Lytechinus pictus: one gene and its partner. The protein of the gene in region 1 binds, or shares a complex with, the protein of each later gene. Links are inferred from orthologs where the notes say so. Each region holds a gene or a part of one and is shown on either strand. Other genes may lie near its edges.

Region 1 (16,342 bases):
TATAGGCACTAAAAACAAATCCAACACAAGCACATCTTTGTCCGTTGCAAGGATTACAATACTTTGGCACCCTTAATTGCTGATATAGATGTTACTTAAGTATGAAGCACCATACATACACAAACCAGCTAGCTTCTTCTGCAGTTACACATTTGAAGTGGCTTTGGTTGAATAATAACCATCCGGAACAATCATTTTCTGTTGAGAGGCTGTAAATTATTTCTTCATATGATCTGCAGTATTGCACTTTGATATATCGACAGAGTGTGGGGTGCTTATTTAAAATATTGCTGGCCCTCAGTGATCTGATCCCGAGTCAGAAGCAAAATGTCAGCCATCTTGAAATCCAAGATGGCTGCCATGAAAAAGATCATTGAAAAAATCACTTTATCTAGTATCACATAACGTATTATTTTAAAGTTTGGCATCTAGGGATATTGAAAATGCCCCCAGTAATCTGTCCAATAGATATGCTGCAAAATGGCCACCATCTTGAAATCTAGAGAGGATCTACTGTCATGAAAATTCATCAAAATCATTTTCTTTGTTTTAATTAATTTGAGGCACTGCATTTTAGACATACAGGCAAGTTTTTTGCCTGCTGGTTTGAAAATATTGCTCCAATAATTGCAATATTTTATTACAAATCAACATGAAGAAAACTGCTCCAGACTTGAAGTACTATGGTTATAGTGGTATTATGATGATGATGAAACTAATATTAATGATGGATGATAATAATACATATTTTATTGTTCAAAATAGAATTCAGTAACAGAAATGCTCCGAAAATTTATTTTGCCCATACCCTGTAGATCGTGAGCCCGGCAGCAATTTAGCAGCGCCACATCAGACGTTGCTCTATCCCTTAAAAAGGGGAGTTCACCCCGGAAAAAAGTTTGTTGTAAAAACAAAAGAAAATATGATATAAAAATGATATTGGTGGATCCATCAAAGATATTAGAATTTTAAGTTTTTGATTTGTGACGTCATATAGGCTACTGTACGAGCAGCTGCCCCATTATGTTGTGTGATATAAAATGCATAAATGGTTCATCATGGGTATTTTTTATCTTTCTGGAGCAGGTGTGAAATCATTTGTTTGTTGATATACCAAGGCTTCAATAAAAACATTTTCATTTTTTTAGGAGGCTACATTTCATTGATTTTGTACTATAAGAAACATGGGGGAACTGCTTGCATCTGACGTCACAAATAGACCAAATGAAATTCCAATAGTTTTTTAAATATTTGATGGAATTTCCTCAAACCTTCAATATTTTTTAATTATTTATTATGTTATCGTTTCAATAAACTTTTTGTCAGGTTGAACTTCCCTTTAATTCGTTGACCGCCAAACAGGTTAGAAGGAACTCCCCTCTTTTAACATCTTTTGGTCTGATGCTGTCGGAGCTTGAACTCCCGATCTCCCGATCGAGAGGCGAACATGCTCCCATTGTCAGATTGTCGAACACACGATGGTTATCCAAAAATGCAAAATTTCAAAATGATAACTACGTTATAATTATGATACTTATTTTTTTAATGAATTTTCTTATGGCAGCCATCTTGGATTTCAAGATGGCTGCCATTTTGCCTCTGACCAAATGGTCGAATTGCTGGGGGCTGGCAATATTTGAAATCAGTGCCTCAAAATACCCCTTTATGCCAAATTTCAGTGTCACATGACATGAAAAACTCAAGAAAATAACATTCAATGATTTTTCATGGCGGCCATCTTGAATTTCAAAATATCGGCCGACCCAATGGTCAAATCGCTTGGGGCCGGCAATTTTTGAAATCAGCACCCCAAATTAAGCCTATATGCCAAATTTCAGTACCGCAGTTCATATAAAACTCGATAAAATGATTGCAATATTATATCATGGCGGCCATCTTGGATTTCAAGATGGCGGACATTTTGCCGCCGGCCAAATGGTCGAATTGCTGGGGGCCGGCAATATTTGAAATCAGTGCCTCAAAATACCCATATATGCCAAATTTCAGTGTCACATGCCATGTAAAACTCAAGAAAATGACATTTAATGATTTTTCATGGCGGCCATTTTGGATTTCAAAATGGCGGCCGACCCGATGGTCAAATCGCTTGGGGCCGGCAATTTTTGAAATCAGCGCCCAAAAATACCCCTGTATGCCAAATTTCAGTACCGCAGTTCATATAAAACTCGAGAAAATTATTGCAATATTATATCATGGCGGCCATCTTGGATTTCAAGATGGCGGACATTTTGCCGCCGGCCAAATGGTCAAATTGCTGGGGGCCGGCAATATTTGAAATCAGTGCCTCAAAATACCCATATATGCCAAATTTCAGTGTCACATGCCATGTAAAACTCAAGAAAATGACATTTAATGATTTTTCATGGCGGCCATTTTGAATTTCAAAATGGCGGCCGACCCGATGGTCAAATCGCTTGGGGCCGGCAATTTTTGAAATCAGCGCCCAAAAATACCCCTGTATGCCAAATTTCACACTTTCTGCCAGATCCGAGCATCTTGGCCATTTTTTGTCCCATAACCGCTCCACTACATACTCTGAACAGTTAAAGGAGAATGAAACCTTTGGAACAAGATAGCTTGTGTGAAAACAGAAAAATCAAAGAAACAGACCAACAAAAGTTTTTGAAAAATCGGACAAATAATGAAAAAGTTATGAGCATTTGAATATTGTGATCACTAATGCTATGGAGATCCTCATATTGGCAATGCGACAAAGATGTGTGATGTCACTTGTGAAAAACTCTCCCCATTACTTAAGTTTATATTTCACTTAAACTGCCTCTTTTATCACATCTATCAGTAGATCATGTGTTCTTTCTATAGGAGGGCATGTGATACAGATTTTTAAAGAATACATCATGGATAAATAGTTTGTATCACCATAAGAAAAAGCAAAAAGACACATTTTGGGGGTATTTTATAGTCCATCAAAGGGAAAGTTGTTTACATGTGACATCACACATCCTTGTCGCATTGCCAATGGGAGGATCTCCATAGCATTAATGATTGCAATATTCAAATGCTCATAACTTTCTCATTATTTGTCCGATTTTTCTCAAACTTTCTTTGTTCTTATTCTATGATTTTTCTGTTTCGACACAAGCCTAATTGTTCCAAAGGTTTCATTCCTCTTTAAGGACTCGAATGAAGAATTCAAAGGGGCTAGGTTATTTTTGAAAAAAAAGGCACCTAAAAGGAAAGGCAGAGCTCACTTGAGGGGGCATCCGATGCCAATAAGAAAGGCCTCAATAGTAAAATATACTTTTTAATGTGAGACATGCACCTGGTTCCCGCAGGGCACCAAGGCTCAATGAAACTCGGTATAACACACATTATATCCTACATAAATTAATTCCTGTATGCTGATTGGTGTAAATAGCATCATGTGACCAAACATATTCTCACTATTTTGCGATGATGTTGAATATGAAATGCCCACTGAAGAGAATTTACTATTTCGTAAATTCTCTTCAGTGGGCGTTTCATTTTCAATTTGGGAAAAGTGCACTCTTCCTTGATTTACGTCACAGATCGCGCAATCTCTCGGGCACAGGCACAAATGCGTGTTCCGCTGAGTGCGTAGCTTCATGAAAAGTAGGTCAGTCAGCGCAGCGCGTTATCCATATTTTGGTTCAGAATTTAAAAAAGATGAAACTACGTGTACAAGAACAAGATTATCAAGATCTGTTCTAACTTATTAAATGTAGGATATAAAATAAATATACCAGGCCTTTATTTCGAAAGAATAGAGGGAATTATTAATCCTCGGTTGTACTGGAAAAATAGTACTGCCAGTCCACCAATAATTTACGCTGTACATACTAAAAAGCCTGTGATATTATATGTTCATGTAGCTGACATACTGTGTATATTTAGATTCTCAATGGTTATCATTTTGAATGCTTACAAAAACCTAATTCATTGAATAATTGCTATCAAATTTCATTAAATTTCTTTCCTACTGTGTTTATCTTACAGTTCAGCAGGTGCCATCTCTGCGACCTTTGACCCTGCCCTCACGATACCGGCGGACGATTCTGATGACGAGTCGAGTGAGTCCGAGCTGAGCGGAGATGACGTGTTCAGTCGAGGTTCAAACAGAGGATCGAACAGGAGATCGAGGAGAAGAGGGAGCATTGATTCGGAACATCAAGATTCTTCCTCATGGCTCTCATGGTGTTCATTAATATAAAATCATTGTGGTTTGGTCATCTCTTCCTTGTCTCAAATACTCATATTGGAAATGGCATTATTGGGGTGGGGTAGCGTAGGAAGGATGACAGGCGATTTCACCCTCATCCCAGCCTATTTAATCCCCAAAACTCCCAAATGGAATGCTTTCATTTGGGTTCAACCGTCTTTTCTTGAGTCGCCCCAAGATCTGCCACAGACAGTATTGTTCTAACAATACAGCAGAATTATGATAGTTGCATTCACGGCATAATAACTTGTGCAAAATATACAGCCCTTAAAATGAATGAAATGGCACCCCCGGAATCCAGTATTCGCCCCAATGTGAATATAAACGTAGCCCCCCCCCCCCCCCCCCGGAATTATTTCCTACCCTCGTGTGTGTGTGTGTGGGGGGGGGGGAGAGGGGGTTGATAACACACTGTTTTGTTGACATTGGTCATAAATGTGTGTACTTCAGAATTATGGATGGCCATATGCTATTTTCATATATAAAGAGATCTCATATAATGCATTCATGATAGGGAGTGGTATTGACAACCTCGGTGTCATTTTTAGTTTAATAACGAGCTAGATGCAGTTTAAATGAAATAGGAACATATAGGTGTATTAACATGAGCGAGCTGCTTTAGAATGATGCATTAATATTACATTTACTAAGTAAACTTCCAGCCAATGTGTAGATAGGTCACAGATGATTAATCTGTTTGATACACATAGCAATACCAGTATTATGTCCAATATAAATGTAATCTTATCCTGATTGCTGTTTTGAGAAGTAAGATGAAAAATTGGAATGTATTGTGCAAGTATTTCTTTATAGACTTTATGTAAATATGGATGTAAATAGCTGCAAAGTTTATCAATTATGAAATTATATTATTGGCTTGAGAGCAAGAAAGGAGTGTAAAGCTTTGATGTCTATCAATATTGAGGTGCATCTTTTGATGTTCAATATTCTTTAGCTAAATTTGTGAGATATTTCCTATTTTTGAGCAAGCGCCATGAGCGCCCAGCTGAGGTGGATACCGGCGCTATACAAGAAACCATCATCATTAAATATATTTATCATTTCTTATTTCCAGTGATCTGGGGCCAAATTCATATTACTTACATCTCTGGTAACAGTCAGTCCGCAAGCCCCTGTGTTAATGAGCAAATGAGCAAGATTTATCCAAGTCCTCTCGTGGCTGAATTCATGTCCCTGCAAAATCTCGTGAATTGTGAGACTTTCTTTCTCAAAGAATTTAACCACTTTCTCCTTGAGTAATATTGATTATTTTTGTACCATGGGCAAGAGTAAATGTTACCCTTTTATATTGGTCATTTCTTTTGAATGAAATATTTTGATAAATAAGTGAATTTTTCACCTGAAAAGATGCATCAAACAGAATTTTCTTCATCTGTTTTCACTTGCAAATTGTGCAACATTTTGTGTTTTAGGCACCAACATTATTTATATCATCAGAAAGCTCAAACTCTGTACTTTCTTACAATGTCACTCGTGATATGTGGCATCTTTTAGATGGGTCAGCAGCCAGTTATTTCCATCAAGATGCAAGACGAGATTTCTGAAATTTCTGAGTAACATAAAATCCAGAGTTCTGATTGGCTGAATATTGTTTTCAAAACAAACAGGCGCGAGTAATTTGAAGAGATTACCACATGGTGAGTGTGACCTTGCAGAGGCCCAGTGTGGGGAACATTGGAATTTGCGTGGGTGTGTGGTCTATGACCAATCAGAGCGCAGTATTCTTGTTTTTGAGCTGCAAAATGTACTTGGCCTATGAAAAGCTGGCTGCTGACCCATCTAACATACATCTTCTTATAAAAATTATATCATATTAAAGCTTAGATCTTCAGCTTTATCATGATTTAAAAATCATTTGTGCCTAAACAGAAATTAAGTGTGAAAACAACAACTTTTGTTGCATGAAAACCATTATTTCATGTTTTAGATCAAAAGTTTCCCCTATATTACAACATTCTTTTAAAAATCCAAACACATGACCTAAAAGAAAGATTCTTCTTCTTTACAAAGATACCAAAAACATGAAATTTTGTCAATATTTAGAGCAGCAATGGCCGAATAAAAAGAGGTGTTTTGGTTCGCACCAAGCTCATTAACTATGCAAAAACCCTCTTGTCATGAATATCACTTGGATAAAAGAAGCTACTTTTTCAGGGCTTGCGGACTGACTGTAACATTGTCATTGTAACTACCATGGAAACCTTGAATGTGATTGGCTTCTGAGCCATGTTACCATTCCTTCATTGAAAAAATAATGGTAAAAGTTGTAACTATATGAATTAGGCCCCTGCCCCCCTGGATGTGTTTGTATTTCCGAATTTCAGCTGAAGTTTGACATTTTTCCAGACATTTACACAGAACTTAGTCTATAAGTGTATGAACACTGACCAAGAATCTTCATTCAAAATACATTGTTTGACAGACTACACAATTTTGATTTGAGGGGCATTTACTCTTTCGGCTATGTTCATCTAGCGCTGCGCAGTGGCTGCTGGGCCCATGATCAATTGGCCAAAACGAATTTTTAGAGCGTTTCTATATCAGATTTATATATCGAATGAGAAAAATATGGATATGGAAATATATAAATACCATTGTTTCTTTCTTTAATAGGTCATCATTTTCAGATCTCCCTACATTTGAAATAATAAAAGTAATAAGTTTCATTATCTGTCGTATTTTTCCCCTTTGTGTTCCTTTGGAATTACAAGTACGTCTTCCCAAATCTTATCTCTTGTGACCAAATTAACCTGTTTGAATAAGGGCAACATTTCACTTTGAAGAAGTGAATAACACACATGCTGTGTGTATAAATGTGGCCAGAAAAATTGCTTTGACTTGATCATTTTCAGCTTGTGACATCACAATGGGTTATCGCGTTGGGTCGAGCGAATCCTGACCTTAATTCCAAAAACGTTGGGTCCAGTTTACCTGACCATTTGAGAATTTGGCTATAATTTTCACAAAACATCGGGTAAATTGGTCCCGACCTGTCAGGAATTTAGGGGGGGGGGCCTTTTCTCAAATGGGCGGGTAAACTGGACCCCATGTGGTGGGAATTTAGGCGGTCCCTTTCTCGAATGGTCGAGTTATGCGATTACCGACCTGTCACGATAACCCTATGATTTTGTGATTCATAGGAGGTTGAACTACATGAAGACTTTATTTTCCATATGAATTCTATTCTGTAATTCCCTCCGAGAATTATTAAATTCAGAATTTTTTTTTTGAAAATGCCCCCTCTAATTACAGTACTTTGAATAAGGCATTTTAAAATGTCATTGTGTATTCAATTGTCTTTATATGGATATATTATATTGGTGTTTTGTAGACCAAATTAGCATTCTGTCTTATTTGCGCTGAAAATGTGCCGTGAAATGTGCCATCATTTATAATCATTGTAAATTATGAAATATATTAAATATCGAATGTGCAATTTGTGTTTGAACTTGTTACTAGACTGACTTTTAATTATCGTAGAGAAGGGGGGGGGGGGTGACTGAGGAAAGAGGGGAGGGGTGGAAAAAGAGAAATGGAAGAAAAAGGATGTGGGAGGAAAGGAAATAGTAGGAGAAGCTTAGAAGAAGATTAGTAGAAAGGATCGAGAAAAGGGAAGAAGTAAAGAAATGTGAGAAGTCGAGAATGGAGAGGAGGAAAGGAATGAAAAGATATGAAAGTGGAGAAGTAGAAGAGAATGAAATGGAGAGTGCATGATGAGGAGTGGAATGAAATGGAAGAAATGAAGAGAGGTGAAGAAAGGAGAATGAAATTGAGGAAAGGAGAAATAGAAGAAAAAGAGGATATGAATAAAGAAAAGGAAGAAAAGGAGGACAAGCAAAAACAGAGGAAAATACTATTGTTTTAATCGATCAAGGGCTGGGGTATATCCTACTTTGAGAAAGATTTCAATGACTTGAATGGGTATGTGATCTTATAGAGTAACAGGATCCATTTGCTTCACCTATATCAACTTGTCTGTTTTTTCTTTTTCCTCTTACAGCAAGTTTTTATTTGGGTTGGATTTCTAGTAGTAGACTAGCTGATGTAGGAAGCTCAGAAAGTAAAGCTATCGAGAGGGTGGAGGGCATAGGAAGCGAGAGAGGTAATTAAAGGAGGAAACGATGGAGGAGAGGGGGTAACAAGGGGGGGGGGGTGGAGGCCGTAGATAATGGAGGAGGATCAGGCAAGGAGCCCCATAGGCCTGGGAAGGAGGAAGAAGAGAAGGGGGGGGGCAGGAATTAGGGGCGGGATCAGGAAGAGTGTGGACAAATTGAGGGGAAAAAATATTAGGCTAGGATGATGAGAAGCGCGGAGCTAGAGGAGGCCACATGTTTTGGTTTAATTACTGACTACTAGTACCGTACTTATGTGAAGTTGGACGAACTTTCAAGTGGTATACGAGATGTAGCCAAATCTGGCCATCCGATGATACTAGTGATAGATCACCAAGCAAAATATATGCACGGTTCAGATGCGCATGCGTGCATCCATTAAGATAAGAAGTGCAGCTGTGCCTAGTGTAGCGGATTCTGTCACTGTAAGTTGGTCATTGTTTGCGTTTTAGTTTCCAAAGTAAATAAATAAAAAAAAACATTCTTAATTCTTTAAGGTGAATAAAGATCGATTTATTATTTTAAATGTAATTCTCATACTCTAGAGTCATGTTTTGCTTGTAAAACACGAACGACATAAACCTATCGTTTAGTACAGTCCCATACGCGTATATTTTTGTGGTAAATTCGGCCAGTTTTTTTAAAGAATTTTTTTTGGGGGGCCATTACTTACTAGGCCCACCAATTACGAAGCAAGTCCGACCGACGTCCTGCTCTTCTCCGCACAGCTGATTGGGACGTGGGGTATATCTCAAATCTTTGTCTGAGCGAAATCGCCTCTTAATTCGGACCGTACGCTGGGGCCGCGGCACTCTAGGCGACACCCCAATACTTACCCGTGCTAATAAACTGGGACTCCACTCACGCGCATTTGGGCCGCCCTAGCTTAGAACTAAGCAATATTATCTAGAAATTGTTACATTGTAGTCATGAAATATGTTCTATTAAATAAATTGATAATGTTTAATCGGTACTCACCGGTTCTTTTGTTGCATTTTCAGACCATTTCTCACAATTCTTCGTAAATATCTGCGGCAAATTTTGTCGCCATAGACAGCTTAACATCCATCTTTATTGATAAATGGAGCGCCCTTTACGATAGTTGTTAATGCCGCGGAGAAATCGTTAGGCATTTTGGCCTGTGTTCAAGGCGTAGCTGTTCTATTTTTTTTTATAGGTATGAGATCGAAATCACAGCGAGTATTTACACTCTTCCATAATGATTCCGAAAGGGAGGCGCAACACCCCCCACCCACAGGGGCGCAAATTCCAGGGGGACATGTCCCCCTCACCTAGAATAGTAGGGGGACACATTATGAAATGTCATCCCCCTACTATTTTGGGTCTTTTCATTCAAAATCGAAATAAAATATGTATTTTGGAAGAGACGATCTTACTTTTGGGGTGCCCTTTTTTTTTGCTTGTTTGCTTATCAAATTTCTTTTGGTCAAGATGACCTTCTTTTTGGGGTGATAAACCTTCTTTTTTGTTTTTGTTTGTTTGTTTTTTTCTTGTCAAATTTTCCAGCCCCTGGTCCCGGCTACCTTTAGGGAGAGATTTCCGCCCTTGCCTAACAGTACACTTGATATTGTTTGCGAATCTGCGTGGGCGTCGGGGGCTGGGGGATGAGGAAAAGCGGTGAGACGAGAAAAAAAAATAGAAGGAAAAAGAGGACAGAAAAAAAAGTGAACGAAAGAAAAATTAATGGAAAATAAAAGGGAGGAGAAAATAGTGAGAAAAGTGATGGGTAGGTCGAGATTTTATGTGTCCGTGCAAAAAGAAATGAGCAGAGGTTGAGATGTTGTCTGTTTGGGCAAATGTCTGTCTGTTTGTTGGACTGGCGCCTGTTGCAAAAATTATTAAGCTGATGGAATCAGAAAGTTCCAACTGCTTCATGTCATACCGACAGTGACAGGATTAAGCGGTTGTATATATAAATCACGCTCTAAAACTGTGTTCTTTATTAAAAAGTTGTCCTTCATATCCATTTTCGCAAAAGAATATCAAGTTTTCAATTAATTGTCTATAGTTATCCTGTTTATGATAAAAATACTTAGAAATTGGGTTAGGTTAGGGTTATCAAATTATCGGGGCAGAAAATATATTTTTTCAGTTCGCGCGTCGAGCTGGCATTAGTGATCAGTGAGATTATGTTTTTAATGACATTCATTCTATTCACAGCAATATATTATTAAACATAGCCGCATGAATTATAGATAGGTCTATAGTTATCAGGTGAATAATTTACCGCTACACACTGATCATGCGGATACTGTTTTGTAAAGGGGAATTTCACCTTGATAAAAAGATTGTGAAAATATAGGCCAAAGAAAAATAATTTCAAAACATAGGTGAAGGTGTTATTAAAAAAAAATGGAGTTAGTAGAATTTCGAATGCTTGATTTGTGACGTCATAAACGAACAGTTGCTCAATATTCTATGTAATACAAAATGCAAAAATTTCCCATTTTTAATGGACCGTAATGACCCACTTTTTTCTTTTTGGAGAGAGTATGAAGTTATCTATTGACATACTGAATGTACAATAAAAGTCATTATCACGTATTTCTTGACATTTCATTTACTTTTTACCATAATTATATCCGATATAGCTGCTCGCAAAGGCCTACGCCGTCACAAATAATTATTTAAAAAATCTCACCTTTAATTATTTTTTGGTGGGGGATGGATTTTTCCTGAACGCATACCAATTTTTCAAATTATTTTTTCTGCTATTTTCATAATTAACTTTAAATAAATTCACCTATGCACTACTTAATTTTTTCAAAGACAAAATAACAAAATTACATCTAGTCTTCATCATCACCATCATCACCAACTTCATTCTCATCATAATCACCACTACCACCATCATTATCATCATCATCATCATCATCATCATCATCATCATCACCGCCACCATCACCACCACCATCATCATCACCAAGATAATTTTCATCATCATCATCTTTCTTTTTTTTTCTTTTTTTTTCCCCTTCCCTTCTTCTTTTTTTCCTTCCTATTTTCCTCCCTTTTTAGAGGGGCACACCACCAAATAAATATGTTTGTTGTTGTTGTATATAAGTTGGCGGATGCCTCATGAAATGAAATAAAAGAGAAAATAAGGAAATGGAAAAAGTAAGAAGAAGGATAAGAAGAAAAAAAGAAAGCCAAACAAACAAGACAAAATAATATCAAAATTTTGTAATAAAGTCAGTCTGTTTAATAATTATGTTTTCAATGAAATGAGACATAAAAGAATTGAAACAAGTAAAAAGGGCTACATCATAGTTAAAAGAAATAGAGGGAAGCTCCGAGACAATAAAAAGTGTTTAAAAAATCAGAAAAGACTTTGAAACACTCTGAACACGAGTATGATATATAAAAAAATTGGGAATAAGCGAGGACAAGTAGGTGAGGGACCCCCCCCCCCTCTCTCTCTAGTTATTTACTCAAACTCGCATATACAAGAGAAGAAATTCTTACTAATCAAAATATTGTGAGCAAAAAGCATGAGCTGACATTTTTTTTAATATTCAAAACTGATAGAGAGACACATTTTGAACAATTCATGAAACATAATAATCATTCATTATAGTTACCAATCGGATTGCGACAAGATCTGAGAATTAGAAATTCATTAAAAGCATAAAATTGTATAACATTAAAATAAGACGGGCGCAACGCATGAGCTAAAGCTTTATATACCAATTAAAAATTTGGACATTTTTAGCGCTTTCGGTAGTCATGAAAAAGATTCATATTTCATGAAAGCTCAAATCCCGAGGAGGAATATTTTTTATTAATTGACTTAAAAAAGGCTGTTCTAATTAAGCCCCATTTAATATTTGATTACAAGTCTCGTTAAACAGTAAAAGAGGAAAAAATAAAGCATATTGTGTTCCTCAATTCTCTTTCTCTTTAACCCTATTTTTTTTTTTTTTTTTTTTTTTTTTTTTTTTTTGGGGAGGTATTTTGGTAAAAAAAAAAGAGAAAAAAACGATAATTGCTGGCTAGTGGGTGTATAGTGGTAGGGACACCCCACCCCCACCCCCCCCCCCGTAGTTACACAAACATGGGACCAAATGATCCTACTTGTTCCAAGGCGAAACTTGTGCAATCAATTAAATGTTATTTTTGAGAAAATTAAAGCTTGCGCTGTTTAAATTCAATCTCTTTCACCTAAATTTGCGATGAATGCTAGTATTATGAAATATATAATTATCAACGTCTGGCGAAAAGAATAACCAACCGATCAGCTGACGAGAACGCGTATCACGTGATCTGCATATCAGCTTCGATCGCGAGTCAGAAGTGAAGAGTAACTGGCAATAAAATCTGGAAAAAGTCGTCAAAATGTAAGTTCCCCTTCATTTCTTTCAATTTTTTTTTATTGCTAACAATGCTTTAACTTTCTTAAACAAAAATTTAATGAATAGACAGTACGATAGCTCGTACTTGTGTTATAATACACAAATAATCATCTTCACAAAGATTTCTGACACAAAATACTACAGATGTCGCCTATGAGGTCCATACATGTAATGTTTGGACCTCATTGGTACTAGGAGTGGGGCCGCGGCACTCTAGGCGACACCCCAATACTTACCCGTGCTAATAAACTGGGACTCCACTCACGCGCGTTTGGGCCTCCCTAGCTTAGAACTAAGCACTAATATCACCTTAAAAACTAAATCTACAAGGTATGTATAATCTATTTACAACTTTAATAATGTTTAATCGGTACTCACCGGTTCTTTTGTTGCATTTTCAGACCATTTCTCACAATTCTTCGTAAATATTTGCGGCAAATTTTGTCACCATAGACAGCTTAGCATCCATCTTTATTGATAAATGGAGCGCCCTTTACGATAGTTGTTAATGCCGCGGAGAAATCGTTAGGCATTTTGGCCTGTGTTCAAGGCGTTCTTTCTGTTTTATTTTTTATATTGAAGATTGTGCATTTGTTGAATAGCGCCGTCTACGTCAGGTATGAGATCGAGTGTATAAATACACTCTTCCAAAATAATTATGATTCCGACCTGGCGCTGTTTAACTTCAATCTCTTTCACCTAAATTAGCGATGAATGCTAGCATTATAAAATATATATTATTAACGTCTGACGAAAAGAATAACCAACCGATCAGCTGACGAGAACGCAAATCACGTGATCTTCATATCAGCTTCGATCGCGAGTCAGAAGAGAAGAGCAGCTGCCCAGAAAATCAGGAAAAAGCCGTGAAAATGTAAGTTCCCCTTCATTTCTTTCATTTTTTGTTGTTGCTAACGATGCATTTACACTATAAAATTATAATTTAAATAAGAGAAAGGAATATAGCTTGTACTTGTGATATAATGTATAAATATCCTGTTCTCAGAGATTTCTAACCAAAAATACTACTGATGTCGCCTATGAGGTCCATACATGTAATGTTGGACCTCATTGGTACTAGGAGTGGGGCCGCGGAACGGTTTTCAAACTCAAGTAAAAGTGGGGGGGCTGACCATGCTAAAAATCACAATCATATGGTCATTTTTACGTTTTTGTACACGGTTTTGGAAAAAAGTGGCGGGGCTGAAGCCCCCCCAGCCCCCCCCGCTTCCGCGGCCCCTGGTACGAACCGTGAGCCGAGTGTGCAGCTGCAATAGTGCAAAGGCCAAAGCCGGGTCATCTTCTGGTCTTGTGTAGCCTAGCCAGGCGGCTTCTTGAGAGTAAAAATCATTTACTAACGTAGGCTTACTCAATGAAGCCAGGGAGTCCTTCCTATTCACCTACACGAAGGACCCCAAAACCTGAAACTTTCACCCCCGAGATTTCTACTTTCCTTCTAAAAGATCTAGCTCTAAATCATGTACATGGGATAAAACTTCATTTCCGACATTTCTATGCTCTCGTTGTTATTTTTAAACAAGAATTCATCAAAAAAATGAAAAAATATTGTGAAAAGACGGAAGAGACTTGCCCGATGTTTACGCCGCCATCTTGTTTCTTATTGTAGTTCCCCAACGTTACGCGATGCTCGCGTCCGTAACGTTGACGCTGCCCGAGTGCCTGAAATGGGACCCTTTTCAACGTTTTTTCTGGACGCGGGTGCGTAACAGGCCATGTGAAAAAGTGACCCCCCGCGGGGTGCTATCTTTTGGCCGATCAAAGCAAATTAAAACCATGAGTGTTTTGATTTTTCAGCTATTGTTACTGCAAAACTGTGTAATGGATCAGATTTGTGAAGTAGATCATGTTTTAAATCTCATTAATAGCCAAATTCAATTATAACTATTGTCCAGAATGTCAGTTGCTCTGTATAAAAAGAAAAAAAATAGTGGAATTTAGAATAGAATAGCAATAATCCAATTTAAGTTACATTACTAAACCTATTACATGAACTTACTTCATTCACTTTATAGGCAATTGAAGTAAGATTTCTGGTCGTGATTCTACAAGCTTGCTCAGACATGAACAACAAGACAACTCTAAACAGTCCTTGTTCCTTGGAGCAGTATCTCCTTCTAGCCAAGACAGCCAAGGGAGCAGCCATGGTGGCCCTTATCAAGCAGTGTGTTGAGGCCCCAGGGGTCTATGTCTTCGGAGAACTCCTAGAGATGCCAAACGTTACTGAGGTAAAAGAATAATTCCAATGCCCATCTCTGACTGTATGATCCTTTTCACCTTCTTATTACCAGATGTACTAGACAAATGCAGAGATCTGCAGCCAAGTTTCCAGGTCTAGCTTTCATCCAAGCTCAATCTTCCTCCACAAGTTTAACATGTATGACAGTGTCAGTGACCAGTGTACATCCTGTGCAATGTAAAATTAGAATATAGACAACCACGTTCTCACATAAACCCATAGGATTGAACTCTCACAGGTTGTTTGAATTAAGACCATGGAATATTAAAATGTTGTGGCATAGGTACGCTAAAAACACAAATATTATTTATCAGGAATCATTGGATCATCCAAGTGCGTAAAGGTGAAATGAAGCATACCTATCTGAAAAAAAAAATATAAGAGGCTACGGTCTATTAGCCCCCCAATAATATTCACAGTGCAATAGAATCTCTGAACACAATGGAAGGACTTCTGATATTTACGGGTATATTTAAGGATGTAAAAAAGAAATGTAACCTATTATATGCTTTTCACACTGCACTTTTTTTTCTTAACCCCGGGAAATTGGTGGGGCTAAGGGGGTCTTAGCCCCACCAATTTCCCGGGGTTAAGCTTAGCCCACTTCGTTTTCACACTACGTTTTAGCAAAGTGGGCTAGCATGGTAAATAGTATGGTACTATCTGGCCCTGCAAAAAAGCAGGGTTAGTCGGCTTATTGTGGTGCTAAGAGATGCAGTGTGAAAACGAAACAGGGCTAAGGAAAGTGGGGCTAAGCATTAGCCAATCACAGAAGTTGAATTGCACGTTAATCACGCTCTGTATGGTAAAATCATCAATATTCATGAGCTGAGGGATAGTCCGGGGTTAAGGCATTAACCACGGTTGAGCAGATAGTATGGGGTTAAGAAAGACAGTGTGAATCGAAAAAAAGATAGTATGGGGTGAAGGATAGTCCGGGGTTAAGGATAGTATGGGGTTAAGGAAATGCAGTGTGAAAAGCATATTAGAGTAGCACATCCCTGTACATGCCAATACACTGTGGGTAATTCCCCCCCCCCCCCAGAACAACATACACTCTAAATTGTTGTAGGAACTGAGAAAAGATTTTGATCCAATGAAAAACTTGTATCATTTCATGCAGATTATTTTATAAGTCTTCTATTAATAAAAGAACCAAAACAAGAGAGAGTTTTTTGGACCAATTTACTTTGTTCTGGTATTGTTATCCCAAGCACCTTGTTTTTCTTCTTTGATAATTTTCCTCTCTTTTTATGTTTAGCTCGCCAATGGACCTAATGTGAATTATGTAGAACTGTTAAACCTTTTTGCCTTTGGAACTTACAGTGATTATTTAGGTAAGTAGAAAATGTGAACT
Region 2 (16,594 bases), on another chromosome or scaffold:
TCATGAATTTGTGCGTTTCTACTTCAAACATTCACTGCTTTTGTTTAAAAGGTCAAATTCACAAATTCATTAATTTTCTATGTATATGCACTTTAAAAGAAAATCACAAATCGAAAATCCATATCTTATTGTTCAAAACAGAAATCAGAAACAGAAATCCACAGAAAATTAATTTTGCCCGATTGATCGTGGGCCCGGCAGCCACTGTGCAGCGCCAGATCAACGTAGCTCTATCCCTTGTATTGTTGAACGCCAAACAGGGTAGTACAACTCCCATCTTTTAACGTCTGTTGGTCTGACGCGGCCGGGTTTGAACTCCCGACCTCGAGGTTGTGAGACAACACACCGGTGTAGAAATACACTCCATAATTTAGAAATACCATACTAATAACTTAAAATAAGTACATGTATGTATTTGACATTTGGCATGTAATCTTACCATCATCTAAATAATCACACTTTGCCATTACCTGTTTATTAGCGGAAATATAGAAAGCACAAGATAAATAAATGGGTACGCTCTGAGCGGCTTGATCTCCTCTCGTATTAGCTGTCTATTTCGCTCTATTTCAGGTTCATAAGTCCCCTGCCAACTTCGTATCTATGGCAACAGAATTGGAAATAGAAAATATGTGGATTATAATTACAGTAATAATTTATAAAATACACTGTACTACAAAGCAATCGTAAAATATCTTTAAGTGGTTTAGAAAGGATTTTAATTAGCTCATTAGAAAGCAAGCAGACAATTTGAACAATACATTAAAAATGCAAACCTTGTTTATGAATTCATTTTGAAAAGAGGTACATGTAATCAGCAAAGACCCAATATACAAAATAAAGTGTTTGAAGATAAAATACATAAAACGGTACAAGAAAAATCATTATTCAAAATTGGGAAATATAACATGCAAATAACGCAACAAAATAAATATCAAAAGAGTACAAATGGTCCCAGCAATAGGCAAGTTTGAATATCATTGTTCTGTGGAGAGATAATAACAAATTAAACCAATGGCGCACAATATCTCCATATCACATATAAAAAACCTGGAAATAAATAAATTAAAATATACTTTTGTGATATTAATATATCAGGAAATACAAATACTGGGGCAATGAATTTAATAATATACATGTACATGTAGAAATATCTGACAGAAGTATCATGGCAAATTGAAGGTGGAAAATGTGTGAATAATTAAGCAGGATGATTTTGTCCTGCATTTAATGCAGTTTCTTTTTTATTATTAATGTACTTACCCTTTTTCTCAGCTTGTATGTAATATACGCATAGACAGCAAACATCAGAATTATCAGCAAAAAGAGTGGCCCATACCAGCTAAAACAGAAGACAAAATAACGATATCATAATGAGTGTTTTATCAAGAAATTTTAATATTTGCTTGATAGTTTCACCTTTCTAACAAGCATAACTGTGATTCTAAAAAATGTCATTGGGTTTTAATATAATTAACAAAAAAGTGACAAGTAATAGAAAACCAACCAGTAAATTGATAATCAAATAAATCAATTAATCATCAATGAAAAGATTAAATGACTACATAACCTACAAAACGATCATCTTTTTATATGTCAATATAGAATTGTGCAAACAATGATATTAAACCATCATTGATTAATCTTGGAATCTTATCAAGGGGAACTTTATAAATGTTGCAATCAATTGCATGTCAAATTTTAGGCACAAAATCAATCACAAGTCTGGCAATTAATTGCAAATAAACACTTGATTCTGAGTCTGCTTCTTTCAGCAAGTAGTACACTTCAATTTGGTATTGTTACAATTGATATATCAGTTGTAATTTGGCAACAGCAATTTGCAATTAATAGCAAATCTTTTCTTGCAAAACCCCTTTAGTCTGCATTGCTAAATTTCAGAAATTGGCCCACAAAATGCAACAAGGTTAACATGAGGGAGCGAGTTGGCTCTGTCGGTAAAGCGTCTGCCTTTTGAACCAAAGATCATGGGTTTCAAGTCCACCCCGTGCGGATGGCTGAAGCCTGTGTTGTGTGTAAACGTCCCTCCTCTGTTCAATAGATGCAGGCTATGTTACAGTGGAAAATACACCGTCCCTCGGATAGGACGTTAAATGGACGCCCCCCGTTAAGAACCCACTGCACTACTCGTATAAGAATAGGCGGAAACTCAGTGTAGTGGTCCACCTGTGCGTCATTAGTGATTCAATTCGCTTTTCACCTCCCAGGCACAGGTGACGCCAAACATATAATAATAACACTTGCACAAGGTGTGTAGTAAAAGAACCAGGGAAACTCACATGAAGAATCGCCATACTGGGTACTCTGCCGGTATCCAACTAGAAGGAAAAATGTTGAGAAGAAATAATTATAATTATACTAATACATAGTATTTGTATAGCACACTTTCCATCTTAATTAGAATCTCAGGGCACTTCAGAGCAAATTACAGAAAGAAAGAACTTACATTATAAGTTAAAATTATACAAGGATATCCTTCAATACATACATGTACACTGTAGATGGTTGAATGCAAAAAAAAAACCTCATTATTTATTCAGGTTGCACCTTTGAAGGTGACTTTTCTGGGTTTTCAAACTGGTCCTGCATGAGTCTGTTCCCCCATAAATTCTTTGAAACCAAAACTTGAAAAAGTTTAGAATTTGAGGATCTTATTTTGTGAATACTAGTAATGTAATGTGAAATTAATCATTAATTAGAGAATAAAGTGAGAGAAATGGTGGACGGAAAATTGTATGGGGGGCAATCTGGCATAATTTCTGGGCAGTTATATACATGTATGACATAATTTGTAACTTATCACCAAGCCCCAGCAGGTCCATAATTGTATGGGGGGCACTCTGACATAATTTCTGGGCAGTTATATACATGTATGACATAATTTGTAACTTACCACCAAGCTCCAGCTGGACCATAATGATTACCAATCAACGGTAGACAAGCCATGAGAAAGGAAAAACCCCAGGTCACTAGATGGTATATTCTGAATTTTGCACAGAAACAAAAATGTATTAATTTTGTGATTAATGGACATACAGTAGAAAATATAAATACACCCTATTTATGGTTTGTTTGTATCCCAGTATCACTTCCTTTATTGTATCTCAATATTCCTTTTAATTGCATTACACTTCCTACTTCATCTTTTTCATATTTTTTCCTCTTCCTCCTGTTCTTAATAATAATAATAATAATAATAATAATCCGCTTTTATATAGCGCTTAATACATCGGAACGACGTGTCTAAGCGCTTTTCAGATATATTATTACCCCGGTCATCGGATTCAATCAGTCGTTCCCGCACACAATGTATGCACATCCTCCACTCCCTGGGGAGTATTCCAGTCAGTCGCCGGCGAGGCCCACACAGTACTGGACAAGCTACAATGACTTTCACATCCTACTGGGTACACATTTAGTACTTAGGCAAAGTGTGGATGAACGTCTATAATAATCATACCAACATGCTTTAAAATGTAGCGTATATCACTGCTAAATGCGTCCCTATGCGCTTAATTGGATATTATTACCCTGGCTTTAGCCCGTGGCCTTTTACAGCGCGGTGGCATTTCAAGGAATAAATTCCTGCCAGGTACCCATTTACCACACCTACATGTAGGTCGAGTGCAGCTCAAAGTGGATAAAATTCTTGCCAAAGGAAATAACGCCATGCCTGGGAATCGAACCCACGACCCTCTGTTTCAAAGTCCGAAAACTAATCCACTGGGCCACAACGCTCAACAATGAAAGAAAGAAAGAAAGAATAGAGGATGATATAACACCTAGACAAAGGACGCCAGACCGCGGTGGGAATTGAACACACGACCCTCTGTTTATAAGGCGAGAGTCGGAACCACCACACCACGGCTCCTCCGTCCTTCTTGTCACTCCGCTTCCCTGTTTATTTTGTTTCTTTGTCCTTCTTCCTCTTTTTTTTCTTCTTTTCCAACTCTTTGATTCATTTTATTATTCAGCTCTGGGATGTTGCAAAACAGGTGTCTACATTGTACATGTATGGAGGGTCCTCCTCCTCTGCTTTCTCCTTCTTCTCCTCCTCCTCTTTCTTCTTCTTCTCCTCCTCCTCTTTCTTCTTCTTCTCCTCCTCCTTCTTCTCCTCTTTCTCCTCCTTCTTCTCCCCCTTCCTCTCCTCCTCTTTATTCTTTTTCTTCTTCTCCTTCTCTCCTCCTTCCCCTCCTCCTCCTCTACTGCTCCTCCCTCTTTTTGCCCCTTCTCCTCCTTCCCCTTTTCCTCCTTCTCCTCTACTCTCATTTCTACTATCTTATCATCGTCTATTCTTCCTTTCATGACTATTTTTCTTAATCTTCCACATTCCGCACATTATTCATATGCAGGAAAAACTACAATTCGCTTTGAAATTTGTTTGCAATACAGACTGCATTGTGTGGTAGAAAGGAGCATTTTAACAGGATTTAGAACAGGAAGAAGGAAATGTAATGACCATCGGTAAAAGACAAAATTGATACTTGTATGTGTCGATACTCAATACTCATACCATGATATTACAAGTACCTTAATGCATATCATATGTTAAAAAAGGGGTAAAAATAGTTTATTTTAGTTTCAAAACAGGGATTGCTTTCAAAACTAAAGAGTCTGGAAAGTTACTGTTTATAGTGATTTTAATATCAAAGTGTTTTATATGTATCCATTCATGGTGTAAAAGGCAGGGTAGGAATATTTTATATTATTATTACCAGCAAACATGTACGTGTAATTAGATAAAGCACAATTAGTTTAGGAATACAGTACTACATGAAGGTGTTACGACATTCAAAGCAAGGGGGGGGGGTGGGTTCCAAGTAACAAGAAATATTTATCCAATCCAAGGGGCTACATGCATTATACATGCTCTGACAAAAGTCAGAGCTTTTGATATATATCCCCAAATATTTTAGCATCAAAACAACACCCAAAGTCTTATAACAAACTCTGTAAAATTCATATTAATCATACATACAATGACTAGGGATTAGGGTTTACTCTGTGCATATAAAGATAAATGAAAGTAGTTGCAGTAAACACTGATTTCACGAGAAAGTGTGTTGAACAAAGCTTAATTGTCACTATATCATCAAGGATCTAGATCTGGTACAGTTACATAAACTGAACTTGTGACAAAATGTATACACCATAAATATCTGACAAACCCCAGTCTAAAAAATCAAAAACAAAGAAATTGAAAGTTTCCTTAATAAATTTGAACACTTGCAAATACATGTCTAACTTGCATAAACTGGGGAAATCACGAGCTTCATTACACCTTTAAACAACTCCTTTACAATGGAAAATCTGTACAAACATATTTTTCATAACCTTCGTAATAAAATTCCATCAGAGGTAGGCCCTTATAACAAATAATGAGACTACCAATATATCAAATTAATTGTCTATATATGCAAAATAACAAATAAACATAGAAATTTCAGCTTACTGCTACTCACATTTCTCTTCTCTCTGTGTTGATCATCCATATTGAAATCAAGTAAAGGTTAAAGGTTATACAGCTGACCCACATCAATGTCACCCAGTCTGAGAAAAGAAATTAGAAAAAAAAATGAAATTTGAAATATTCTGTAATCTTGACCCAACACAGTACCTGCTGAGCACTAATTTTCCCGCTGACAAAGAAAACGATATCAAAATCATATAAAAATATAATTTTATGGCAATTTTCATGGCAAGATCTTACCCCAAAATTGTGTCCACCATCCTTCAAAGTTACAGACTGCACTGTCTCCTCTTGGGCTTTCCTATAAAAGAGGAAATTACAAAAAGCAAGAAAAACATAATAAAACATGGCAAACTGATGCAAGTCTGACCCAAAGCAGCTGTATTCATTTTAGGAAACACAGAAGATAATAGTTACTGTATCTCATGTAATTAATTTTGCAATTTTTATGAATGAATGAAACTTCCTCTGAAATTAGACACAAGAATCCTACAGTAACATCTGCACAATTCCCATACTACACTCAACCAATCTGTATGTAGATGACTTTATATTAGTCTACAATTATATAACACATCACATAATTTGATATATCACTTACCAAAAACTTTGATATACTTCCAAAGAATGCTGCCACCGTGAGCCACAGGATTAGTCTTTGTACAAAGAGTTCATACTTCTTAAAGATCCAGATCACTGTTATCATGAAAACACTGAAGATATAAAGGACAAACAAACATTTAACAATCCCTTTCTTTCTTACATTCTAAATCCAAGCATACATGTAGGATGGGGGGTCGGGTGTCCGGACACTTTATATTTTTGAAGCCTTCTTTTTTGTCTTTGGATTACACTAAAAATATGAATTCAATACTTGTAATCATCTTCTATTTTGTTCTTTATAATATTTCCTAACATTTTGTACTAAAAATTTATGAAATTTCGCTTTCAAATTTTTCCAAATGACTTTCTAAAATTGATCGTCCGGACACACAACCTGTCCGGACACACAACCACTGGGTATACATTCATATTCAAGTGGAATTTATTTTATTTTCTTTCAGAGACAGTACCTACATGTATGCACCATTCTAAAAAGCTATGATTTCTCCATACATGTACATGTATGTGGCCACTACTATGTAACAGAATCATTGTTGTCAATTCAGTCAAATATACAAATATTATAAAAACAAAATTGCATTCATTCCTCAATTATTTGTTTTCTTTCTTCTTTCACATTTCATATATGGACAGCTCTCCAAATACATGATTTAAAAATCCATAAAATATAATTTTTTCAGAAAATATAAAATGATTTTTATCAATGCATTCATTACACCATCAGACACATTATTCCATAAAAGTACATACATGTACATTGTACAATGCTTTTATGAAATAAAAAAACTATTAAAAAGCATGGTTTGCACTATTAAATCAATCATGACATATGGGACAGCTGCCGCATGCAGCATGACACAATCAAAATTTTGATTAATAAGAAAATTTCACAAAGATGTTAAACCTTCTTCCATATGCTTTTTACATGTAGTTTTCTGCATTTATCAATATCAACATGATACTAGGGTAGACTACTTCCCCTTTAAGTGTCTTTAAGAATTAATCCACTGTACAATGTACATGTACAAGTAGATCTGTGTAGATGTCATAAACTTACCATCCAATTAAAGAGAGGGCAGCGAGAGCCTTTCGAATCCCATAAATAGTATTCTGGGTAGAAAAAAAAAAGAAATGTGAAAGTACTAGTTTATTTTGTGAAGAGGTTAACACCAGAGGTTGTGTAATCTGGGTTTTAAATTCCATTTTGGGCATCAATGTTCTGGAAATCCATTCATCTGCACGCTTTTCAAACATGCAACTACACGTTATGGAGTGATTACATACATGTACTTTTAATGACAGCTGACAATAAATCAGAACTTTATTTTACTTTTCTTTCAGTTACTCTTGAACTACAAACAATACACACATGTACTCTTCATAACCTAAATTTTGCATTTTTTTTCCTACATACATGTAGTTCTGCAATATTTTGTAAACCTCCTTGGAGCTTGCAATGAGTTCAGTATATAATGAAGAGTCATGTGACAATGCGTCACTCATATTCTTTTAAAAGACACCAATTAACTGACTTTACTGGAACATTTTACATAATCATAGTTATTTCCACATATTTTTTTTACAATTCTGGGGTTGATTGTGATCTAATTCCCATAAAATCACCATCTACAATGTACTATTCTACTTTCTCCTCCTTACTATACAATTCTCCTCTTCCTCTCCTTCTCCCTTTTTTTTCTCTCCTTCTCCCCTTATTTTCTTCTCTCCCTGTATTCCTTCCTCCTCATGCGACTTGTGAAATGATGTAGGGAGGGGATAATTTATTTTTTTTCTCCAAAAATTATACTCAAGACTGTATAAATTCTTTCATGAGGACATGTCTCAATATGCTTCATCCAAAAGGGAAAGGGGCTTTAAGGAGAAAAACATGAATTCTTAATAGGGCCTATTTTACAGTACAATAACTACAGTACAACAAATGAGAGAGTTGTCTTCCTTGCTGCCACTTTAAAATAAACATACAATGTAGATCTAGTTTACATTCTTTAAAACGTAAATCCCTTGTCCAATTTCCTTCAAACCTCTCTCCATTTTTCTTTCTCCTTCCACACATTACCGTAATTTTGTTACCTGAACAGCTGAAATCTGTCTGTTTGGAGAATTTTTTAAACATTTTTATACTTTCTGGTTTCTCCTCCTACATAGACACTAGCTACATGTATCTCACACACAGTGTGAGGGGCTGAGGGCCCTATTCCCATAGGTTCAATTGTACTATTCCCCTAAAAATGGGAATTCAGAATTTTTTATTCTTAATTTGTCACAAAATTGCACTGAGGTGGTGAATCAGACAAGATTCTGATCATTTTTAATATATTTTGATGAAAATGTTTGTATTAACAGTCAAAATCAATCTGAATTTTGGGGTTTAATACAATAGGTTCCTGCACTGGCTGCAGACATATCAGAGTGGAAACAATGACTTTGGTCTATGGAGGAGGAATAGTGAACCAAGACATATTCCACCACCCAACAAAACAGAGACTTCAAAATTTTCAGTCTATTGAATACCAAGGTCCAAGGTTAGATTCCCCTTAATCTAAAGTAACAATGTTGAAAAAGTATGGTTTCATTTCATTATAACGTTCATGTTTAAAATAGACTACAAAAAATTAATCCCAGGAAATCAAATGAAGAATAAAGCTTTCACCTCCTTCTCCCTACCTTTCAACTTGTTAATTTTACAAGCAACGTCAAGATCAATCTTTTAGGTTAATAAGGTTTATCGCGAATCAGCAAATATCAACAGAGGTCGCTGCACCGCAAAGCATGATGGGATCAAAAAGGGGGCAGAGACACAACCAAAAACAGCCCAATGATCACCACCGGTCACCTGGCATGATGAAAATTCTTGAAATTGTGAAAATAAGGATTACGTTACTCCCAGCCGCAAGTCGAAATGTGATTGTGAACAGTCGTCTGAATAGCAGCTAGCTTGCCCCCTTTTCAATCCCATGATGCATTGCAGTTCTGATTAGCAATATATGGTAACTAATCATAATTATATTGCACCTCGCTATATGACAGGTAAGACTAGTCTAACGCCGAGGACATTGATGCGGGAATTAAGCAACTAACTCGGAAACGACCTGGCGCAGATAATCTACCAGATTGAAGAGCGCCAACTTAACTCCAACACCAACCAACCAACCAATATACCTTGTTCTTATATTTGTTTTCAGTTGACTTCTTGGAGGTTGGAGTCGGACTCCTCATCATAAATTATATCATGCCATTCCCATTCATTTTCTTTTTTCATCTCATTCAATCATGTCATTTTACAATTACAATAAACGTTTTTCCCCATCTTATTTCTTGCCTCTTGTTTATTTTGCATGCTCATTTTGCTTCCACATCTGTTTCTTTAAAAAAAATGCAAACTGTTTTTTTTTTTTTAGATCTAGCCTAGCCTAAACCAAACGAACCCCTAAAAAGCCCCGGCCAAAGCCAAGGCAAAGCCGGGATTGCACGGGGGACCTCTGGCCAAATCAAATGTTAAGACTGCGACTACAGCTACACTCACACATTTTGTAACGTCACCATTAAACAACGGGCATTCTTCAAGCGGTGCGCTCGTAGGATCTGCCATCTTTGTTGAAAATATCACAAACAAATAACTTATAGATCCACTCCCTCGATTTTTAGCTCAACTTGAATGGAAAAATTCATGAAACAAACTCCGAAAGACGAAAATAATGTCTGACTCATTTTTCCACCGCACTCAAATTCTGATCCGATCCTGTGAATGAAAATTATGGTAAGCCACGCCCATATTCGTTACGTAATCAAGTCAAAGACTACATCAAGTTCAAGATGGCGTCGGAAATGGAAATCGAAGGGAGTTCATCCTCTTCACAGTCAGCTGTTATGGCTTCTGGAGGGACAGGAAGCGTGGCAGTTGCTCTTCATCCCCTGGTTGTCATGAATATTTCAGAACATTGGACTAGAATCCGTGCACAAGAAGGAAAACCTACCCAGGGTAAGACAGTTTTGTAATTGTATTTGTACTCTACATTGTCCCACGCATTGTATATCATGTGTGTTCACAAAGACGTGTGAGTGACTGTGAATGTGACAATGTCAATGATGCTGTGTCTGTGATTGTGTGAGTGTAACAAGGTTGGCTGAAGTTGGCTCCCGGCGCTAGTGTAGTTTCGCACCTCCCCGTTTAATGGTTTTCAAACATGTACAATCTCACCCTAAATAATTCACAACCTAAAATACTTGCATCTGAGCCTCCAAAGTCCAGTAGAAGTTGAATATTTGCCGTTTTGACACTTTTTTACAAAGTTTTACAAATTACACCTATTTCGGAAACACTCGGTCTCGGTTTAGAGCCTTGTTTTGAACTCTAGGTCTAGAGTTCAAAACAAGGCTCTACATTATTATTTCTTATTTCATCGCTAAATCTACGTGTATTCACATTTTTTACATTTCTTATTTCATTCAAACAAGCACACACACGCACACCCCACACACACCTTCACACAACAAACATCAACCACTCTGCACAACCACTACCGTAATACTTGGTGCAAGCTGAAAGAGGGGAAAAAATCTTTTTGAAGATACCATAGAAAAACTCGCTCTTCTTGCACTTCACTAGTTGGTACGTACTGTACGCGTACCGACTGCTTATGTGCAGCGCTGAGCTTCAAGCGACCGAGTGATTCCGAAATAGTTGTAAAACTTTGTAAAAAAAAGTGTCAAAACGGCAAATATTCAACTTCTACTGGACTTTGGAGGCTCAGATGCAAGTATTTTAGGTTGTGAATTATTTAGGGTGAGATTGTACATGTTTGAAAACCATTAAACGGGGAGGTGCAAAACTACACTAGCGCCTGGCTCCCCTGTCTGTGTCAAGATATAAACATGTGAATATGATATGTTTTTACTAATATTGAAATCTGACTTTTCTTCGAAAAATGCTACAAAATTAGACCAAACAAATAGTCAAAAGTTTTTTTTAATTTAAGAACGGAAAGAACTGCAAAAGTGCAAGAAGAATTTTAATTCTAAAAAGAAAAACTGGTTATTCCATCAAAGTCAAAAGTTAGTGATTAGTCACTGATTTTAAAGAACAGTTCTTATTGGTTCTTAGTAAGTAGTACTAGTATGAGCAAAATGCGCATGCAACGATGATCTTGATAGGCCATTTCATAATTGCTAGATAAACTTTGTGTTGCAGGGGCCCAGACCATTTGACTTTTTTTGTCATAGAAAGCCGTTATGCAATGTCATTGGGCCAACAGCTTGCCAGGACAATCAAAACACCTCACAGTTTCAATTGCCTTGCTGGTAATTGGCTCAACGATTTTGCAATGTATTCCATTTTATCATGTGCATTGTTGGTTCAGACAACAAGGACAAAGCTCTGGAATTCAACAATTCAATGTTCAATTCTTGTTGTTTTGTGCAGAATTGATGTCTTTTAGAAGGTGTTGCAAAAAAAATATTTGAAATCAATTGCAAAGTGACCGATAAATTCTACCTAAAATAAATCAATTTATAATTTGTTTATCAATGCAAGGAGCAGACCATCAATCAATTGCAAATTTGCAATGAAATGCATGACTTTCAAGTGACTTTGGGACCTGATATTGACTTGCAGATCCAGGATTTTCCAAAGGGGGGGGGGCACATTTTCCCGAGGAAAAATTTGACAAGCAAACAAAAAAGAAGGTTTTTAACCAAAAATTAGGCACATCTTGTCCACGAAAAAGTTTGACAAGGAAAAAAAAGTGTTCACTTTCAAAGGGGCGAGATTTGCCCCCCCCCCCCCCGGATCCGCCAGTGATTAGCCCTATATTTTGTGTTCTGCTTTCTTCTTTACACCATTCCTTCTGTATTTCCTTAATTTTGAGAGAAATTTGTCTTTCCTTCTTTAAACTTCCCATATTTATTTTGTACAGCATGTTAATAAATTTCATTATTTTTATTTCCGCAGTTCTTGGTGCTTTGATTGGTAAACAAGAAGGCAGAAACATAGAGGTCCTCAATTCATTTGAGCTTCTCTTTGACACCGTGGAGGGAGATATCATCATCGACAGGGAATACTACAACACAAAAGAAGAACAATGTAAGTGTGTAAACTTTGCACATATATGTGAAAGAATGAGTTGAAAATAATACATAAAATTAGGTGTTCAATTGGCCCATTGCAGAAATAAGCTAGATTCCAAAAGAAACTGATCAAACTATACAAGGGCACTGCACAAGTTCCACTCAGTCAAAATGAACAATATTTTTACCCAGGCTAGCTTTAATAATCTCTACTAAGCACATGTCAATAATTAAGAGATTGGTTCAGTCACAGAGAGGCTATAGCATTGGTTTCAGAATACAAAGTCACAAAATAGCAAAAGAAAGACCAATGAAAATGAGATAGGATAAAACGAACTTCCCAGTTTATCACACACGTCCATTACAGGCAGGTTAAGTGATTTGCTTGATCACAATTGAAGCTGTAGGAAGTTAAAAATCAAAATTTTTAGATGATTGGAACAATCACACAGCCACCCACAGATCCCCAGGGGGATGTGCCCTTAAGCGGGGGTTAATCAGAACATGGTGTGTGTGTGGCCTAGTGAGATACACACAGAGGGCAGGGCATGCGCTAATGTTTGTGGTGTGGAAATAGAAGTTTGAACAAGTTATTGCTTTTATGTAGGTGAGATTAAATTATTGTCCTTTTTAGTTAACAATTAATGATGTTTGATAAATTGCTTCTAGGAAACATGATGGAAGTCCTTGTTTCTATTTTGTTATTTCAGTCAAGCAGGTTTTTAAAGATCTTGAGTTTCTTGGTTGGTACACCACTGGAGGATCACCGGATGAATCTGATATCAAAGTTCACAAACAGGTAATATTAACTTATTGGGAGTTGCAAGAATCTTGCTATCGATTCCAAGTCAATCATTGATCTTCAAATCAATCACAAGTATTTTAATTAATTGCAAATTTGCAACGGATTGCTAGTCTGCTTCTTGCATCAACAAGTATACATGTAACTTGATTTGCTTTAGTTGAAATTGGTCTATCATTTGTGAATGTGCGACTGAAATCTGCTCTTGATTGCAACAATTTTCTTGCAACATCATCTTGTTCTATTTCTCAGATAGTCTAATACCACACAGGCTAAGCCCAATTGGTTTGATTGCTGTTTGGTCCATTCTACACTTGGTCTAATGCCACTAAGTCTAATTCTCAATTATTCTATCTAATTTTCAATTATTCTAATGCTCATACTGGTCTAATCTCTCTTCGTCTTCTATTTATTTTTCACAAAGGTTAATAGACTAATTGGTGCAGACCAAGTGGATATTGGACGAAACAGAAAAAGCCCAACTGCCCTTGATGATAAGATTTTCCGTGTCACTGACAAGTTTTCTATGAGACCTACAGGGGATTTTTTTTTAATTGGACAAATCCAATCTGGCTATTCTCTTGGATGAGAAAATTTGTAACCTTGAGTCATATAGAGGAGTTGTCCTTAAAAGTTGTTCAGTTACAGAGCTGACAGAGCTGAAGGAGAACTGATAAGTTCTCCTTTAGTCAACTAGTACCCTTTTTACACAGGATTTTCTTAGCCCCGGACTATCGCTAACCCCGTACTATCCTTAACCCCGTACTATTTTTTTTCCTTTTTACACATGCCAAATTGTTATTGCTAACCCCGGATAAGGAATGCTTGCTTTTCACACACGAAACTCGCTAACCCCGGACTAGTGGTTTTTGTTGATCATTCGTAGTACAAGTACTTCACTCGTACCTTTTTACACACGCTACAATTTCCTTAACCCCGTACTATAGGTGGGGCCAAATTGCCATTTAGCCCCACCTATAGTACGGGGTTAAGCTTAGCCCACTTTCGTTTTACACTAGCGATCTTAACCCCGTACTATCGCTCTTAGCACCGCAATTGCTGGGATAACCCTGCTTTTTTGCAGGGCCAAATAATCCCGTACTAAAGGTGGGGTTAGCCCACTTTGCAAAAATGCTGTGTAAAAAGAAAGTGGGCTAAGCTTAACCCCGTACTATAGGTGGGGCTAAATGGCAATTTAGCCCCACCTATAGTACGGGGTTAAGGAAATTTTAGCGTGTGTAAAAAGGGTATAGGGGAGCTGTCCTTAAGATTTGTTCTGATATAGGGACAGATCCTATCCGGCAGTTCCCGGGCTGAAAGACAGTATATACTGCCCCATGGATAACTTTTCCTTGAGGCCTCCAGAGGATTTGTCTTGAGGAGTTGGTCTGAAGAGTTCTGGTACAGATATTACAGTATTGCATGTGTAATGTTCTCATATTACAGCCTGTACTTGGACTATGTTCATGCATACAGACATTAATAATCCTGTAATGCAAATTTTTAGTATAAATTCAAAATGGTTTTTATATTTTCATTCTCGTTCTAAACAGATTTGTGAAATCAATGAGAGCCCCATCTTCTTGAAGCTGAATCCATTATCAAGACAGACTGATGTGAGTATTACTGCAGTTCTTGGGCCTGTAACACAAAGCTTAGCAATCTTTGTAGAACAGCTTTTTATGATTGAATTCATTGACTACAATGTACAATTAATGGGGAATTCAAGCATATGATCAATCGCAAACCTTTGTGTCATTGGACCTAGATGATAACATTAACAGTAATTCAAATAAGCCTCAAATTCAATATGTATTAATAATACATTGCACTTACAAAATTATAATGCAATGAAATTTTGAAAAAATAATGTATTGTAATTATAATGTAATAAAATAAAAATATGATGTATTATAATTTGAATTTATTTAGCATGTTAAATACTAGTAATCATAGGCTCACAATTAGAAAGAGTGTATGTAAGCATTTTAAAGACTAGTTTTAACAGTGTCATTGCTTTGAATATTGTTGCAATGAATTGTAATGATTGCCATACTATATCATGATTTTAATTTAAAAAATGAAGGTTACTAATGATGAGTTCATAATAGTGACATGACCAGGATTTATCCATATGACAACTAGTTATAAAGAATTTCAAGTAGTCTGAATATTTGTGATTTACAACTGTCACATTTCAGGGAGAAGATGCTGTTAAGTACACTAGTGATTATGATATCTATCTACAGTAACTGGTGATCGCAGATATACATGGATATCTTAAATTTTATTCATTACTTTTTAACAATTTAACAGCTTCCCGTCCACATGTTTGAATCAGTGATTGATCTGATCAACGGCATAGCAACCATGCTATTTGTGGAGCTGCATTTTACCCTAGCAACAGAAGAGGCTGAAAGAATAGGTGTTGATCATGTTGCTAGGGTAACCAACAGTGAAACTATGGAAAGCTCTGTGGGTAAGTGGTATGATCATATTTACCTTCTTCTTATGATAATCATCATAACAGCTATGGAGCTGACTGAAATACAAATGAAAAATATATATATTTATATAGTTTAGAGTATATAAAGTGAATGCCAAAAATTAAAAACTTCAATCCATCACTTAATCACTGTGCATTACCAGAGCTGCCAGTTAGTGGGATTTTATCCATTTAAGAAGGATTTTCAAGGGGATATTTACACTAAATAGGATATTGCCCCTATAAATGGGGTTTTTAAACTTGTATAGCATTTATGAGGCGCTTATCTAGTAGCCTATTCGATGGCGCACTATATATATTACCCCAGATATAGTTCAAGCTGCTAAATGCGCTCCATTCATTCAAGGAATTAATCCTGCCGGGTACTCATTCACCTCCTGTGGGTTGACTGAAGCAGAATGTGGGTAAATTTCTTTCTGAAAGTAACACCCCATGGCTGAGATTCGAAATCACATCCCTCTGATTGAAAGGCGAGAGTCATAACCACTAGACCTCGACGCCCCCAGTATAACATCATCATATCTTACAGCCGTTATTGACTGTTATTTGTTTTATATGTTGCTAGTTGTCAAGCATCTTCATGACTCTTTTATACTGTTTTTCATCTAGTTGCGGAGCACCTGATAGCACAACACAACGCCGTGAAGATGCTGCACAGTCGCGTAAAGCTGATCTTGGATTACGTGAAAGCTGTCCAGTCTGGTGAGGTGCCCATGAACCATGAGATTCTCCGGGATGCCAACAGTCTCTGCCACAGGCTACCGGTCCTGCATCTAGAAAAGTTTGATACAGAATTCTACAATGTAAGTTACCGTATCCTTATTACTTGAAAACATTGAAATTTGGCATGAATTTCTTCCATTTTGAGCTGCCCTTGACCCAGGCGTAGTAAATGGTTACATGTATCTAGTAGGAAATTCATTCCTTGAAAGGATTATCTTCCAGGATGGCATTTTTTGTAAACGTCTTGTTCATGTTTGCAAGTTAAATGTTAACTGGAAAAGAAAGTAGTGGCAGCTAACAATTATTTCATGAGAAAGTCTTTTAATTCAAGGTTAATTGGCACCATATTATCATTGATCTAGAT

The links.
Region 2: COP9 signalosome complex subunit 7b-like (region 1) and COP9 signalosome complex subunit 6-like share a complex: the UniProt entries of both Drosophila melanogaster proteins name them as parts of the CSN complex. The link is inferred for Lytechinus pictus from reciprocal best matches to the Drosophila melanogaster genes CSN7 and CSN6.

What each region holds. Positions count from the first base shown.
Region 1 is NC_087258.1:2,856,790-2,873,131, forward strand, and holds the start of COP9 signalosome complex subunit 7b-like, read left to right. Parts: upstream 1-8,495; 5' UTR 8,496-8,714; coding exon 8,715-8,780; intron 8,781-14,761; coding exon 14,762-14,974; intron 14,975-16,246; coding exon 16,247-16,322; intron 16,323-16,342. Other genes in the region: uncharacterized protein LOC129276772, read left to right, coding at 4,000-4,213. UniProt on the Drosophila melanogaster protein: Component of the COP9 signalosome complex (CSN), a complex involved in various cellular and developmental processes.
Region 2 is NC_087260.1:11,638,994-11,655,587, forward strand, and holds the start of COP9 signalosome complex subunit 6-like, read left to right. Parts: upstream 1-9,633; 5' UTR 9,634-9,659; coding exon of another isoform or gene 9,660-9,725; 5' UTR 9,726-9,949; coding exon 9,950-10,115; intron 10,116-12,083; coding exon 12,084-12,215; intron 12,216-12,909; coding exon 12,910-12,998; intron 12,999-14,554; coding exon 14,555-14,617; intron 14,618-15,317; coding exon 15,318-15,480; intron 15,481-16,116; coding exon 16,117-16,310; intron 16,311-16,594. Other genes in the region: cyclic AMP receptor-like protein A, read right to left, coding at 471-601, 1,264-1,342, 2,301-2,339, 2,915-3,004, 5,484-5,571, 5,732-5,792, 6,093-6,204, 7,173-7,225 and 1 more. UniProt on the Drosophila melanogaster protein: Component of the COP9 signalosome complex (CSN), a complex involved in various cellular and developmental processes.